2 linked regions of the Caenorhabditis elegans genome follow. The gene in region 2 interacts genetically with the main gene of each other region. Each region holds a gene or a part of one and is shown on either strand. Other genes may lie near its edges.

What was found. A genetic interaction does not mean that the proteins touch.
Region 1: of mom-4 (region 2) and apr-1, changing one enhances a phenotype caused by changing the other (phenotypic enhancement), as found in Caenorhabditis elegans (one study listed by BioGRID).

The regions. Positions count from the first base shown.
Region 1 is NC_003279.8:8,048,371-8,055,987, reverse strand, and holds apr-1 (Adenomatous polyposis coli protein-related protein 1), read right to left. Parts: upstream 5,946-7,617; coding exon 5,763-5,945; intron 5,559-5,762; coding exon 5,404-5,558; intron 5,355-5,403; coding exon 4,628-5,354; intron 4,136-4,627; coding exon 3,548-4,135; intron 3,507-3,547; coding exon 1,953-3,506; intron 1,289-1,952; coding exon 1,007-1,288; intron 925-1,006; coding exon 847-924; 3' UTR 520-846; downstream 1-519. Other genes in the region: K04G2.9 (MARVEL domain-containing protein), read left to right, coding at 305-406; K04G2.7 (HTH CENPB-type domain-containing protein), read left to right, coding at 6,657-6,816. UniProt on the Caenorhabditis elegans protein: Has a role in endoderm cell specification and pharyngeal development. Required for the migration of epithelial cells, organization of the anterior seam cells and ceh-13 expression during embryo morphogenesis.
Region 2 is NC_003279.8:9,895,160-9,902,372, reverse strand, and holds mom-4 (Mitogen-activated protein kinase kinase kinase mom-4), read left to right. Parts: upstream 1-1,555; 5' UTR 1,556-1,773; coding exon 1,774-1,842; intron 1,843-2,000; coding exon 2,001-2,167; intron 2,168-2,270; coding exon 2,271-2,369; intron 2,370-2,414; coding exon 2,415-2,494; intron 2,495-2,911; coding exon 2,912-3,038; intron 3,039-3,651; coding exon 3,652-4,033; intron 4,034-4,376; coding exon 4,377-4,595; intron 4,596-4,644; coding exon 4,645-4,748; intron 4,749-5,436; coding exon 5,437-5,548; intron 5,549-5,599; coding exon 5,600-5,715; intron 5,716-6,255; coding exon 6,256-6,391; 3' UTR 6,392-6,695; downstream 6,696-7,213. Other genes in the region: lsl-1 (C2H2-type domain-containing protein), read right to left, coding at 106-372, 609-849, 897-981, 1,029-1,094; col-64 (Nematode cuticle collagen N-terminal domain-containing protein), read left to right, coding at 6,777-6,920. UniProt on the Caenorhabditis elegans protein: Part of the Wnt signaling pathway essential for the specification of the mesodermal cell fate in early embryos. Stimulates the wrm-1/lit-1-dependent phosphorylation of pop-1 and plays a role in the initial nuclear accumulation of wrm-1.

The sequences.
Region 1 (7,617 bases), 1.8 Mb from region 2:
TCATCGATTTTTATAGTTTTTTTTGATAAACGAATATGTCTTTAACGAAAAGCTATAAAAATCGATATAAATTTTGAAATTACAATAGCACACCTTTTGTATTTCACAAAAAATTCGTCGTGTCGAGACCAGATACCGTACTTTTGGCGCAAAAATCGCAAAATTCACGTCTGGGTAACAATTTATTCTTAACTCGAAAATCAAAAAAGTTACAAAGAGATAAACTATCCACCACTAGCTCCTTTTCTTCTGGATTTTTCCTCAACAAAAAACTCTCAAAAAACCTATGAACCTAATTTTTCAGTTCCTAACATTCATCCTGGGAATTTTCTACGCACTGACTGCCTTCCTCACTCATAAGAATCGTCATTCACTTCGTAACATATCCAGAGAAGAACTATATTGAAGATAATGGTTTCTTTGAAAGTTTGCATAATATAACTGATTCTCTCGTGTTTTTTTTTCTCCCATTCCTGCCGATTTCTAATAAAACAAATACTTCTTCACACTAATAAATATATACAATATTTATGATTCAAAAAAGATGAGAAAACAATGGAGCAGAGTGAGGTTGAAAGAACTCGTATTACAAATTGAATGAAACATATTAACAGCTATGTATTGAGCGGTCAGGTAATGGAAACAAGAACAAGAACCAAATCACATTTTACAGAAAATTGGAAAACATAGTATATTGCCAGCGCTAGAAATATGATTACAGGGTCCATTAGACAATAATATAAAAGTTCGAGGTAGAATAAGAAGATGAGAACACTCGACTAGAAACTGGGAACGACTAGAGATGACGGGGATACAAAGAACAAGGTTCGGTATATGAGCGGATCATTAGACTATTGTTACAAGCATTTGTTTAGGATTCGGTGTCACACTCTTCTCGTTGCTCATTTCACCATTATTTCGACCCTGAAAATGTTTATTTTAAAGAATATTTCTTCATGTTTGAATTGATACTGTACTTTTTAAAAAAAAGTAATTATTTTCTTACAGTGAAAGGCGGTTTCTGATAATTGTAGGGCGTTACAATTGCAGATTTAGCTATAGGTGATCCGTTTCCAATTGACGGTGATTGCTCAATGTTCTTCTGTTGCTTCAATGCATTCATATAAATTCGTTCTTGTTCTGCCTCAACAACTGGAGCATTCACATATATCGTATCATCTCTCGTCTGATTCTCAATCGAATCCTCTTCTGGATAGTGCTTATCTTTTAAAAGTGTCGGCTTCGGTGGCAATCGTGGCCGCCGGGAAGCGATGATTGGCTTGGGATTCTGCAAAAAAGCGAGGTTTGAAAATCTAATTTGAAACGTTTAGAATTCAGTTGGTCTTTGATTTTATCAAAGTTAATTTAAAAAAATTGGGAGCAGGGCTCGGCATTTTTTGATTTTTTTTTGCTAAAAAAAAATTAATAAAAAACTCACTTTCTATTTTTCCATATTTTACAAATATTCTTTAACAAAATGTGGGTTTATTTATGGTTTTTAGTGTTTTTTTTTTCAAAAGTTAAATATCTCTGATATATTTTTTAAAGTTTGTTTTTCTACTGTACTCATTTACGTTAATAAAACAAAAAAAAATTAACTTGGATCAGAAGCTGTCTAAACTTGGGCAAGAAGCTAGAGCCAAATGCCGAGTTTTTACCAGTTTTCATTTTTTGTTGGTTCAAGTTTGGATTTTTTTCTAAAATCGAACATTTTCGTTTTTTTTTTCCCGATATATTGAAAAACAATTTCGGGTTTTCGAAAAAATCTCAAATATTGGTCATATTACTATTTTTAGGCAAAAGTTATGTTTTTTTTAAATATTTTTTTTCATCAATATACAATTGAATTTTGTGATTAATTTTTTGAATTTTCTCTCGTTTTTTTCGATTTTCAATTTTCATGAGACATTGTTTAATTCTATAAAATCAGAGTTTTTTAATAGAATAAATACCTTATCAACAAGTGATCCATTCGTTTTTGGAACAGGCAGTCTTGACTTTCCATTCGTTGATACTCGGGTGGCTTGTCGAACTCCTGGGAGTGAAGATGCAGATCCTTTTGGTGTGGAAGTAGCTAAAGCTTTTGAATCTCGTGACGTTGTCGTAGTTTCATTTCTTTGCGATGAACCGCTTCCACTAGAAATCATTGAACAATCGATAGTTAGTTGTGCATCAACTCCATCATCAAACTGAGTCGCATCAGGATCCTCCTCATCTTCATAATCTTCGAAATGATCATAAGTATAGTCGTAATCATCATCATCGACACAATCCATTGGAAGAGATGCATCGATCTCATCGTCAAATCTCATAGTGTTTGCAGCAGCACCAGAAGTTGATGAATTTGGTTCTTCAGCAGTTAATCCAAAACTATCTTCACTACTAGCTTGGCTTTCCAATGACTCCATTCGATGTAATTGTTGTTGTGGAGACCAGTCTGAGCCTCTTGCCACATCAATGCCGTTATGATCGCTGGGCTCATGCGATGCGGTGAATGCGTCGCGGCGATCGGCTTCCTCGTTTTTTGAATGACTTCTTCTCTCTGGCTCGGGTTCAAGATATTGTTGTGTACCAGCAAGTCGTGGAGATATAATTCGACTTTTTGGCATCTCTGACATTATTGATTCCATTAAAAGACGATCTGCATCAGAAGCATCTTGACGACGATTAGGTTGAGTTCGATGAGAAGATGACTTTGGAATCGGTGAGGTATCTGGATGAGACCATGCAGGAGACGATGTTGTTTTCTGAGTTGGAGAGAAGAATCCATTAAGGCGAGGCGAGACTTTCATCTTCGGAGTAGACGACGAAGTAGGCATTTCAGATTGAATAGAACGAGTCAAAAGCTCGTCATCTGTCTTTTGTGCGGCACCTCCTATTATAGCATAATCACCTTCTTCCTCCTCAAGAGATGGACCTGGGAGAACATCATCAGGACTATCCAACTCTTCTGAAGTCTTTCGTGGAACTGTCCCGTTCGGTGTCTGTTCGTGTACCAATATTGGATTCAAAATAGCATAAGTTGGTGTAATAATGTTATCCATTGGCACAGTAGTTGCACCATCACTCCGAGTCATAGTGTTAGCTGATCCACTGCTATAATGTGTAGTGTTCTGCTGTTGAGACGTCAATTGATGATGTTCCGATTCAGTGGATTTAGGTAAATTGAACACCTGAGCACACATTGTTGGAGAAGCTGGAATATCATTGTATGATACAGGAGAAAGAGCACGAGAACTGTTGGCTGCAGTATCCAGAGAAGAATTCCAGTTTGTCATAACACTTCCAGGATTCATCGAGCCGAGACTTCTTTCACTGTTACTTCGTGTTCCCATTACGGTAGATGTGGGAATATCTAGATCGTCATCCGTAGGAGGAACTGGATCAGCTTCCTGAGCTTTTTGCATTTGTTGCTGTTGTTGAATTTGATGAAATTGTTGTTGTTGCTGCTGAAGGTACATGATTTGTTGATGATGTTCCATTTGCGCTTGATCCTCCGTCTGAAACTAAGAGAAAATTACAGAAAAAAACGCTGGAAAATCGTTACCATAATTTGTTGTTGTTGCTGCAATTGATAGATCATTTGTTGTTGCTGATGTTGATCCATTTGTTGATTGTAGGACTGTGCCATCACAAATCCATTTCGTTGAACGGCAAAATGTCTTGGCAGACTACTAGATCTTTGATCAACTTGTGGAGTCTGTATCAACTGTTGTTGAGCCTGTGGTTGTATATATTTTCCAGGTGATGCTCGAGTTGCTCTCAGTGATAGTAATCTTGGTGACGCAGTTCCATGATAAGCATGATGAGATGTTTGCATCTGAAGTTGTGGCTCCGAAAGCATTTGCATCCCTGTGGCTCCTCCTCCAACAGAATGTGACATATCACCATAACGATGACTACACGGTTGATTAAGAGTATTCAGCACAGACTTCACTGCTGTCCGAATATCATCACGATTCGAGTTTCGGAGTACGTTGAGTTGCTGTACTGCAGCCATATCCTGCCGAATCATTTGCTGCATGTGGGGATCTTTGACAATTAGGTTTGCAATAGCTCCTAGAGTATTTGTAACACAAGTGAACGAGGCACTCTTGAGCAAAGTGAGCATTCGAGTGATGAGCAAGCTTCTTAGCTGAAATTTTATTGGATTAATTGAAATAATGATATTTGTTCAGTTTGATCAATTTTATGTGCAAAAGGGAAGTGTTTGTGGGTTCTTTTGCCTAAAAACTTCAACTGACACAAAACCATCGAATTTCGTAATTTCTCAAAAAAAAAACCTACTTACTTCTCAAAAAATTTACAAAAAGGTGAAAAAAAGGGTAAAATTTTTCCAAAATTTTCTTTTAAAATCCCTGTTGAAGAAATCACTTTTTGTGGCATATTTTTCTGACTTTTATCTCTCGTTAATTTATTTAGGCACATTTTAAGTCGATATTCAGAAATGTCCAAAATTGGAAACAAGCGCAAGTTGACGAAAGATTTAGCAAGATTTGGATTTTTTTTTGCAAAATTTTGACTCGCCATGAAATTTTTTTCGATTTTTTTCTTTCTATTTATGAAAAAAAAAGATAACTTTGAAACCTCACTTGCATTTTTCAACAAAAACAAATCAAAAACTAACCTCTAAATGCGTGGAAGTATTCGCGAGATATTGTGATACATACTTCAGAATTCCAGTAGCTGAATCAACAAGTGACGTGAATCTTGCATCAGGAGATAGAAGGCTGGCTAATACTTTTAAACAATTCGGAGTATCACAAATAGTTCGTTTATTCTCTACTGAGTGACCAGCAAGATTCCACAAAGCAGATAATGTTGCTGTAACATCGAATCTATGTGTATGTGCATGTACTGCAGCAATTGAAAGTGCATGAACTGTTGGTTGAAGAGCTTCACTCATTCCTGAATCGGCGTTCCATGAGAGATTTCTGATTAGTCCAGCGTATACTTGAGTTATATTTGGAGATTCGATCACAATTCGAACAACGCATCGAATGAATCCATCATATGAGCATAGCCGGCGTTTAGAGTGAATTTGACCGTATGTTAAATTCGTAAGAGCATTGGCAATAAGTTTTCGAATATTTCGATGCTCTCCAGGATTGGTCTCATTGATTCCAAATGTGTGAACTTCAAGAATTAAAACTTCTGCAAGCGCTTCAACAAGTCCTAATACTGTAGCAACTTTTCGATATTCTTCTCCAAATGATTCCTTAACGATTGTGTGAAGAGCTGCATTTAGTCGATGATAATAAGAAGCTGGTGGTGTTGATGGTTTCCTTCGAAGATAATATACTTGTTCTCTAACACAGTTTGACGCAGGAAGAGCTTTTTTCAGCCGTCTTTTTCTAAAATTAAACGATTTTTTGAAAAATATTCTGAAAATTTCGGATTTACCTGTTAACATCAGATTCACTCGTTATCAATGCAAAAATCTTTTCGTGAAGTTCTCGAAGTTTATTATCATCTTCATCGGTCGGAACAATATCACGTTTGTGTTCGAAATGTAGAGATGAAAGAAGAACTGTTATAGCATCGTCAACCTCGATCGCCTGTAATTAAACTTTTAAATATTGTATTTTCAGAAAAAATAGTTAAAAAGCTTAAAAAATACTTTTATATTCTAATTTTTTACGCTCCGATTTTTTTTACTTAGAAGACCATTGTACAGGTACAAAAATTGCTCAAATTCCTCAAAAAGTCAAAACTTGGCCTTTTACCAACATCGAAAATCTGTTTTTTCCAACAATCCTTACCGTATCTTCGCGAAATCTTGCATAATGCTCTTCTTCATCATCTACATCACTAACATCATGTCGCACATTCGATGTTCTTTTTGATGATCCTGCTCGAGGTTGTGAGTAGATTCCACTTCCACCGGTATTTGATCCTGTTCTGTGTATCGTTGTTTCATTTTCATCACTACTACTAGAGCTCATCTGAAATTTAATTTTATTATTTTGAATGATCTTTGATATATTTGAAGAGAATATATAAGAAATAGAAAAGGTACATCAATGTATTCCAATAAATAATAATTGTTAAAAATCACTCTTTTAACAAATTAATATTTGAAAACAAAAAATTGTTAAGCTTTCAAAACAAACTCAAAACCTAAATTTTTCTTGTTATATTGTTGGTTTTCTGAATGATTTCAATTTTTTGGACCGAAAATATTTCTTGTTCCAGCTTGAATAGCACTTTTAATTAAACTCCTTCGTGGTTTTATTCCCATTTTGATTCGAAAGAACAGGTGTTTACAATGCGAGAGGTGACCGTTTTTGCTGCTATTCTTCAATTTTCAAGGCCGTAAAAACAACATGGAAAACTATGCTGTCCATGGTTCAAAAGTACTCGAAGGCCAGCCACGAACCCCTCGGTTGAAAAAAAAAGAAGAAACAGAGATGAAGTCAATCGGTTTGACCTTCAGAAAACCGAAGAAACGCAATGTAAATATGCAGTGTCGAGTGTATAACTATACAGGGAGGGCGCCACACAGTACACTACGTGTTCCGCAGTTCCAAAACCGGCGCACGAAAGGTAAAAATGGTTTGCAACCAACAAGATGAATCGGAAGGAGGCGTTTGAACGGGGGTAAAACTAAGAAGAAAAAAGACAAGAGAATAGTTCATTTTGTGTATTTGCGTTGAATGGCAACTACTACATCTACTTCGAGTCCTTCAACATCTTCTACATCTAGCTCGTCGAACTGTCGTATTGAAGAAGGCGAGTTAGAGCAGAAACTATTTAATGTCTATAATGAAGAGGTGAAGATGTGCGATAGCAATGGACAGAGTACTCAACATATAGGTGAGATTTTATATATATATATATATATGATACAATTTAGAAGGTGGGAATGGAAAAACTGGGAGACGGATGTAATGGTTGATTTAGGCTGAATAGGTACGAATAGAATGTTTCTCTGTTTATTTTAACAATTTGGGTGATGTACGTTCGCTAAATGTTTTCCAAAAATTCAGTCGACCCGACTAGGTTCTGAACATTCAGACTTTTTCTATTCATTATTATACATTCACTTAAAATTATTTTTGAAAAATCATGAAATTTGGGTTCGGTCACAATAAAAATTCCGGAGATCTTGGCGAGACCCACCGATAAAATAATCGTCTACCTTTAAAATGGAGTTAGATCTTGCCACGAAATTATGATATTCAAATTCAAATTTCGCGCCGAAAAAATAGCAGAAAAGGATACAGAGATATTAGGCAGATAGAGAAAGTGTGTGTAATCCCACCTACTGTTTTTCCTCTCAACAAGCCAATTTGGTTGTTGCTGTTGAGAAAGGGGCAGATTGCGCGACGATTGCGTAGTCCCTTTCTCTAGTCAAGGGTATTTGTGTTGGGTAGCAAACACGCCACCACTTTTTTGTGGTCCCATCAGGAATCTTATGTCCCAACACAATAGGGTTACCGGAATGAATAGAACTGTAACTAACGAGGTGTGAAAATTTGAGTGATGAGATACGACAGTTTTCATTCATAAAATGACTTTCCAATGATTTTGGAGTATACTTTTTGAACTGAACAGGCCTTTTATATTATGTGAACATATACCCTGCACAATATGGGTAATTATAATGTTCATATA
Region 2 (7,213 bases):
GTAAAAATACAAACGCTGGTCTTTTCACGTCTTCTTTTTTTGTAAAATACAAAAGGGCGTGCGCCTTTAAAGAGTACTGTAATTTCAAATTGAATTGAAACTTACATCTCAAACTCGAGTGGTTTAGCTTGTTCTAGAACATCGGATGCCATGTGACAGTTAGTCAATCGCATTGTAGCTCTCATGATTTTATCGTCAAATGAAGATAGTGGGATAAGCTGGTTTCGGCAGATCATATCAACCCATTTTGAAGGATCTTTACCCAATAAAAGTTTCGGAACCGATCGCTTCTTCTCTGGATTGTAATAGGGCATCGATGTCCCACGAATGACTAGAGCATCGGACGGAATAATTCCAGACGAACGCCGATTGCTGAAATCATTTTTAAGACGAGATAGATATCAGAATTCCCCTCGTACAACACATATAATTCGTGGTTCGTGTATTATACGGTGGACGTACAATAAATGTATTATTCACATAATATAATGGACGAAGTTCTTAAAATTCGTGCAATGCAATGTGAATAACATATTTATTGTACGTCCAATGTATAATATACGTACCACGAACTATTTGTGAAGGTGAAGGGTCGACCGATTGCCAACCTCGAATATGGTCTATAAGCAGCTTCCAACTCTTCTTTGCTTGTCACATGAGTTCGCATGTGCTTTTTCATGTTTCCTTTCAATCGGAACTGTTTTCCACAAAATGGACACACATAAGGGGTATAGCCGGTGTGAACGGTACGATGCTCGAACATATTCGATTTGTATCGGAATCCTCGGCCACAAACATCGCAGATGTATGGTTTGGTGTCGGTATGAATCACAGAGTGCTGTTGGAGACCTGAAATGTTTTTTTTTATTTCAGCTTTCTATTTTTATGCGAATAACCTTTATAATTCATAAACATTTTATTACACACATTACACTGATGAACAGCAAACGGGGCGACTTCTTCTTGTTGATAGGTTCCGAACTAGAAACATTTCAATAATCTTAAAAATAAGAATCGAAATAAAATACCGTTATAGAAGCTTCGTAGTCCTCGCCGTCGTAAGATGGATCCGTTCGGTCATCAATAATTGACATCTGAAGTAAAAAATAAAATTTTTTGAAGAAAAAATGCAGACAATTTGTTGGTTTAAACATAAAATTAAGACAAACAAAACTCATAAATTAATTGACAGCTTCTCTAAATTTTAGGATTACCGTGTTTGACAGTTTCGTGGTGAGACCCAAAAGTTTCGTTGCGTCATGCGCCTTTGAGCACAGTGTCCCCAACAAAGAATTGTTTCTGCAATTTCGAATTAAGCTGAAAACATTATTTATATATTTAACAAAATTAGTTTAGAACAGAAGAACAGAAAATTAGAACATTTTCGATCTTTGTATTTTTTATACAAATATAATTTGAATAAATTTCCATACTTCTTCCCCGTTGTGTAATTTCTTTACTTTTCAGAACTTAAAACATTCAATTATTCTTTATTTTGAATTTTCTGTAAAACCTGCGCAATTGAATTTTATGTATTTATCAAAACAATTTTCAGCCATGCTACAGTAACTTCTTTAAAATCATCATTCTTCCTTGTCTAAATCGGAAATCTGTCTGTGTCCCGTTGGTCTATTTTGTTATTCGTCTGCAGTTTCTTCTACTTGTGCACTATATCGTTTCCACTGAGCGAGAGAAAGAGTATACACACACAACACATGCCAGTTCCTGTCCTTTGCCGCCCATCACCATTTTTTTCACCGTTTCGGCTCTGAAATGGACAATTCGTCACAGAGCAAACCGTCTAGTAGTTCGTCCAGTCATTCGCCAAGTCCTGCCGCAATTGTAAGTTTAATGGATTTTGAGTAAAGAAAAATAACGTTTTCTTGTAAAAACAGTATTGTATTTAATTTTTAAAAAAATCAGTTGAAGACGTATAAAGCCTGCTTTTACCAAAACTATCAATAAAAATCACTGAAAACTCAATAAATTAATAAATTCAGACACCAACACAACGAACAACACGAGATTCCGGATTGTGCTCAACAATTGATATTCCCGAAATTCAAGCACAATGTATTGATAATTTAAATAGTCATTATCTCGGAAAAGGCACTTATGGATTGGTTGAGAAAACAAGATATAGAAAAACTAGGCAGGATGACTTTAGGTTCGTTTCTAGCTTCAAAAATTTAAATTTAATTCTTTTAAAGCATGAGGAATTATCAAAAGTTAACAAAAAATCAATAAAATCACCAAAATATTATTTTCAGGCCAGCAGCAATCAAATATTCTTCTCAACTTCATATGGCAACTCTTATAAGAGAAGCAAAAGTTATGTGGGATCTCAGAAATCATCCTAATATTATAAAGTATGTTTTTATAAATGGAAAATACTGAAAATAGAAGTTTTTCAGAATTTATGGACTGTACAAAAGCCCTCGGAATGGGCAAGGAGTCGTTATGGAATATATGGATTGTGGAAGCATGGCCGATTGTGAGATTTTCATTTAAATTTAGTGAAAATCCCCGATTTCGCCAAATTTTTTAACATTTTGTCGGTTTATTCCGTGTTTCTTAGCGAATTAAACTACATTTTTTCGGCAATAGGAACAGAAATTTCTATCAGCTAAAAATATATTAAAATACATCAAAAAAGCGGATTATACTGCAAAATATGGAAGAAACTGAATAAAAATCAATATATGGACGCTGTAACACGAAAAATCTGGCAAAAAAAATTTCACTATAATTTTGAACAAAAAAAATGCTATTTGGTTTTTTTTTTCCATTTTTAGTCTTAAAAAAATCGCTTTAAATTCTCCAAACCCTGTTTTTTACGAAATTAAAAATTCATTTCAATGAGGCAATTCTCCAAAATAAAATTTAGCTGAAAAATCTATTTTTTTTTCAGTACTCTACGACAGAACACACATTAATTATACAATTGATCATGTGGCTTCATGGATGTTTCAACTATCATCCGCCGTCGATTTTTTCCATTCCAACAGCCAAGTTCACAGAGATTTGAAACTTCAAAAGTGAGTTTTTGATAGCAGAAATTATTGAAAGAAATATATATGTTGGATGTGAAGATGTTTTCAGTGATTTTTGAAAATTAACAGAAAAATATTGAAATTTTTTTCTTTACTATTAGCTAATATATTAGGTAAATTTTTTAAAAGTTGAAAGAATTAATGGCGGAGATCCTGTCAATTTAACAATTTAGATTTTAGAAAAATTCAACAAAATCTTTTGAAATTTTAAGTGAATTTAGTACAGAAAAGCAGAAATGTTTCGAATCCATTTTTAGACATTCGAAAAATTAATTTTAAAGGGTTCTACATTTTTGTGTGAGCTATTTTTTTTATTTTTTTAAGCAAAAAGTTCCTTGAAAATTGGTCCACAAAATAATGTGTAAAATCTAAAAAAAATCATTTTTAAAAAATAATATTTCAAAGTGGATTTAAAAATATCCTCCAAGAAGAACTAATCATATGAAAATAATTTTAAAAAGCCATTTTAAAAGTAAAAATGAGGAATTTCTTAATTTTTGTAGCTTTTCAAATTTCAATAAATTATCAGAAATCTTTAGCGGTCAGTTTTCAAAATTAAAATTAAATCACCTACTGTGGTCAATCAAAATAATTTCAGCATGCTTCTCTCTGATCGATATCGAACAATGAAATTATGTGATTTTGGAACATTTACCTCAATGCATCAATCAATGACTTCAAATCGTGGAACTCCAATCACAATGGCTCCAGAAGTATTTCGATGTGAACAGTATAATATGAAATCTGACATCTACAGTATTGGAATTATAATGTGGCAAATTATTGCTAGAAATCATCCGTATCGAAGAGATCTCTCAGTTCCTGGACTTTTATATAATGTTGCGACAGCTAACTTACGTCCACAAGAACTCGAATGTAATCCTATTTTGTCTGAATTTTATAAGAAATGTTGGAATGATAATGCTGATATTCGACCGACTTCTTCCGAATGTGTAGAATATTTTACTCTTCTAAAAGATGTAAGTTCTTTTAAAAAATTAAAAATTAAATACTCAACCAGTTAAAAACAATTTTTTTGAATTGAACAAATATTTCTAAAAATACAAAATTAAAATTTTTGGACAATCTCGAAAGAAGGTGCTGCAAAGCAAATTAAATTTTTTGTTTTCGAATTTTTTATTGCGAAGAAATTAAAGTATTTATTGAATTTATTTTAAAGTTTTTAAATTTTAAAAATTGTGTTATTCCAACACAATTTTTAATTTTATCTGAGAATTACTGTATTCGTGATAAGACCTGCTTTTCTATGAAACATATGAATCTCGCCAAACTCCAAAAAAACTAATTTTTTTTGCATTAAAGGAATATCCGAATGGGAGCGTACCTTTATCGGATTCTTCAACAAATGGACCAGCAGAAACTCCTCCACCACATGCTCATCGACCAACAATGCTTGGAACTTCTTCTGGAAGTGGAATAGGATCAAATAATCGAACACCAACTGCTTCAAAACTTTTAAATCCTCAACAACCTGGACAGGGTCATAGAAGAAATCGTAGTGAGACTTTTGTAGTGCAACCGGTAAGATTTTCATTTGGATAGCTTGAAAAACAGAAAATTGAAATTTTAGGATCTACCGTATCCAACGGTTCCGGGTGAAGCTGGTGCATCTAGAATACCAAAATCTCAAAGTGAAGCTAAAAATTTTCGGGATAGAGCCAAAAGCGAGCAAAGGTAGGAATTAATGGAAATGGAGATGAGGACTGTCCTGTTTTTGGGGTTTTTCGGATAAGAAACTAAATATCTAAAGACATGCAAATTTAGACTAGAATAATTGAAAAAAACATTTTCGATTATTTTTCAGACGAAATTAAAAAAAATTGAAAAAATTGTTGTCTTTCTATTTTCTCGCAAAAACCGAAAAAAACGTTTAGAAAATTAACTAAAGGATTAAATGTTTAAAAACTTGTTTTTATGAAAAAAACAAAGAAAGCATGTAATTTTCTTTATAGAAAAGAAAAATTACCAAAATTTGAAGCTATTTTTCAAACATCGATTTTTCAATTTTTTCAGAGAAAGTCAAAAAATTTAAAAACGAACATTGTTTGATTTTTCTGAAATTCTAATAATAGAAAAAACGAAAAAAAGTGTAATAAATATCAATTTAAAAAATGAAACTATTAATTTATCAAAAAATTCATATTTCGATGAGAAAATACGAAAATTGCTTTTAAAAATAGAAATATGACCGAAAAGTATTTAAAATTTGGCATTTTCCAAAAATAAAATAATTTTTTTAAATTTTAGCTTCTTTGGTTCTTAGAGAAATTAAAAAACTAACACTTTGATGGGTATTTCTACAAAAGTAGACATTTATTTTTTCCATTGACGTGGTGTATTATGAAATATCTCTTTTTTTCAGGCAACCACATAGAGACGCACGTCCTCCTCCTCCTTTTGAGCACCGAAGAGATAGCAACGATGAGGAAAAACATGCCGTTTTTATGAATATTTGTTCGAATGAGGAGACTAGAGTAATCCTTCGATGAGATTTGAATTAAATATAATAACATTCAATTTTTCAGCCTATTGATCCTGATACTCGTGACGAAAAATCTTTGGAAATCTTTCATCAACACTGTGATAATAATAAACAATATGCAGATGCTTGGGTCATTAAAAAAGAAGTTATGAGAGCTAAGTTAGTTGAAATTGCTATGTTTCAATGTAAAAAATTTGTTTTAAGATAAAAAGCATTTCTGGAAAAGAGGAAAAATTCAAATTTTGTATCATTGCATTTTCCGAAAAAAAAATCGAAAAAGTGTTTAGATTTTAATTTACGAAAATATCAGCTTTTCATCAAATTGTGTTAAGTTTGTGAAAAAAAAACAATTAAACATGTCATTTTCATTTGATAAAATAAAAAATTATCAAAATAAAAAACTAGTTTAAATATCAAAAAATCTAAATTTTTTGAAAATATCTAAATATTGAATAACAAAAATTACATATTTTTCGATTTTTTATTTCAAATCGAAAAAGCGAAATAATTTTTTTCTAAAACAAAAAGTGCAATTTCAAGTGTTTTTTTTTGAAAAATTATAATTTTAAAAAGTTTTAAGTAACAAAAATTATGGATTATTTATTTTCCAAAATAACGGTGAAAATTTTAAATATCCTGACCGAAATTTTGCTTAAATCAAATTCAAGTCCAATTGAAAAATACAATTAAAAATTTCAGACATGAGCTAATTGCCCAATGGCCTCAACACGATCACACGGTAGAACTTCTTGAACGGAAATATTATCTGGAACAAGAAATTGCAAGATATCGGGACATCCAAGATGATAATTACTTTTCAACTGAAAGAATGTGAACTCATTTCACTTTTTTTAAAAACATTCTTAGATGTATACTCATCTCTAAATAACTTTTATCTATATACTCACTTCTTGTTCAATTTGAATTCTGATCACTTCCTGTCAACTTTCTCTTTCAGTCCCTCTTTTCCTGTCAAACTTCTCTCTCCTCTTTAAAACGCTGGTCGCTGCCGTCTGTCCTTCCGAAGTTCTAAATGTAATTGTTATTATCTATAGATTTGTGTATTTAGTGTCTAGATATCATTACATGACTGTCGATTTTATGACAAGAAAACGTTTTGTGGAATTATCTATCTACACATCCAACATCTGAACGTATCACCCATGCCAACGTGCATATAAAGAGTGATACGAACGGCAGTGAAGAGACAGTCTACTGAAATGGGTTACGGTACCAATGTGGCTTCTGGTGTTACTGTCATTTGTGCAGCTTTTCTTATTCCAATGCTAACATGTACTATTTCTTTATTTTATGAAGTTGCACAAATGCACATGAGTGCAATGGATGGAATGGATGAATTCAAGGTGAGAGGCTAATTGCAGATAGTAGGCTTAAGCTTATGTTTAAGCTTCACCAGAAGATGCAAATATTTTTAGTATTTAAAAAACATTGATTGACTTATTGCTAAATGATTATCATAGTCTCGAAGCGACAAAAAATGTTTAAGTAAGTCTGCGAAAAAAATGGTTGTGCGCCTTAAAAAAGTACAGTATTTTTCACTACCCTTTAATTTGCAACTAATCTCAATATTTTCCATAAACGTAAACATATGAAAACTATACAGCAAAATGAATGAAAATTAATGTACTCTTTAAAG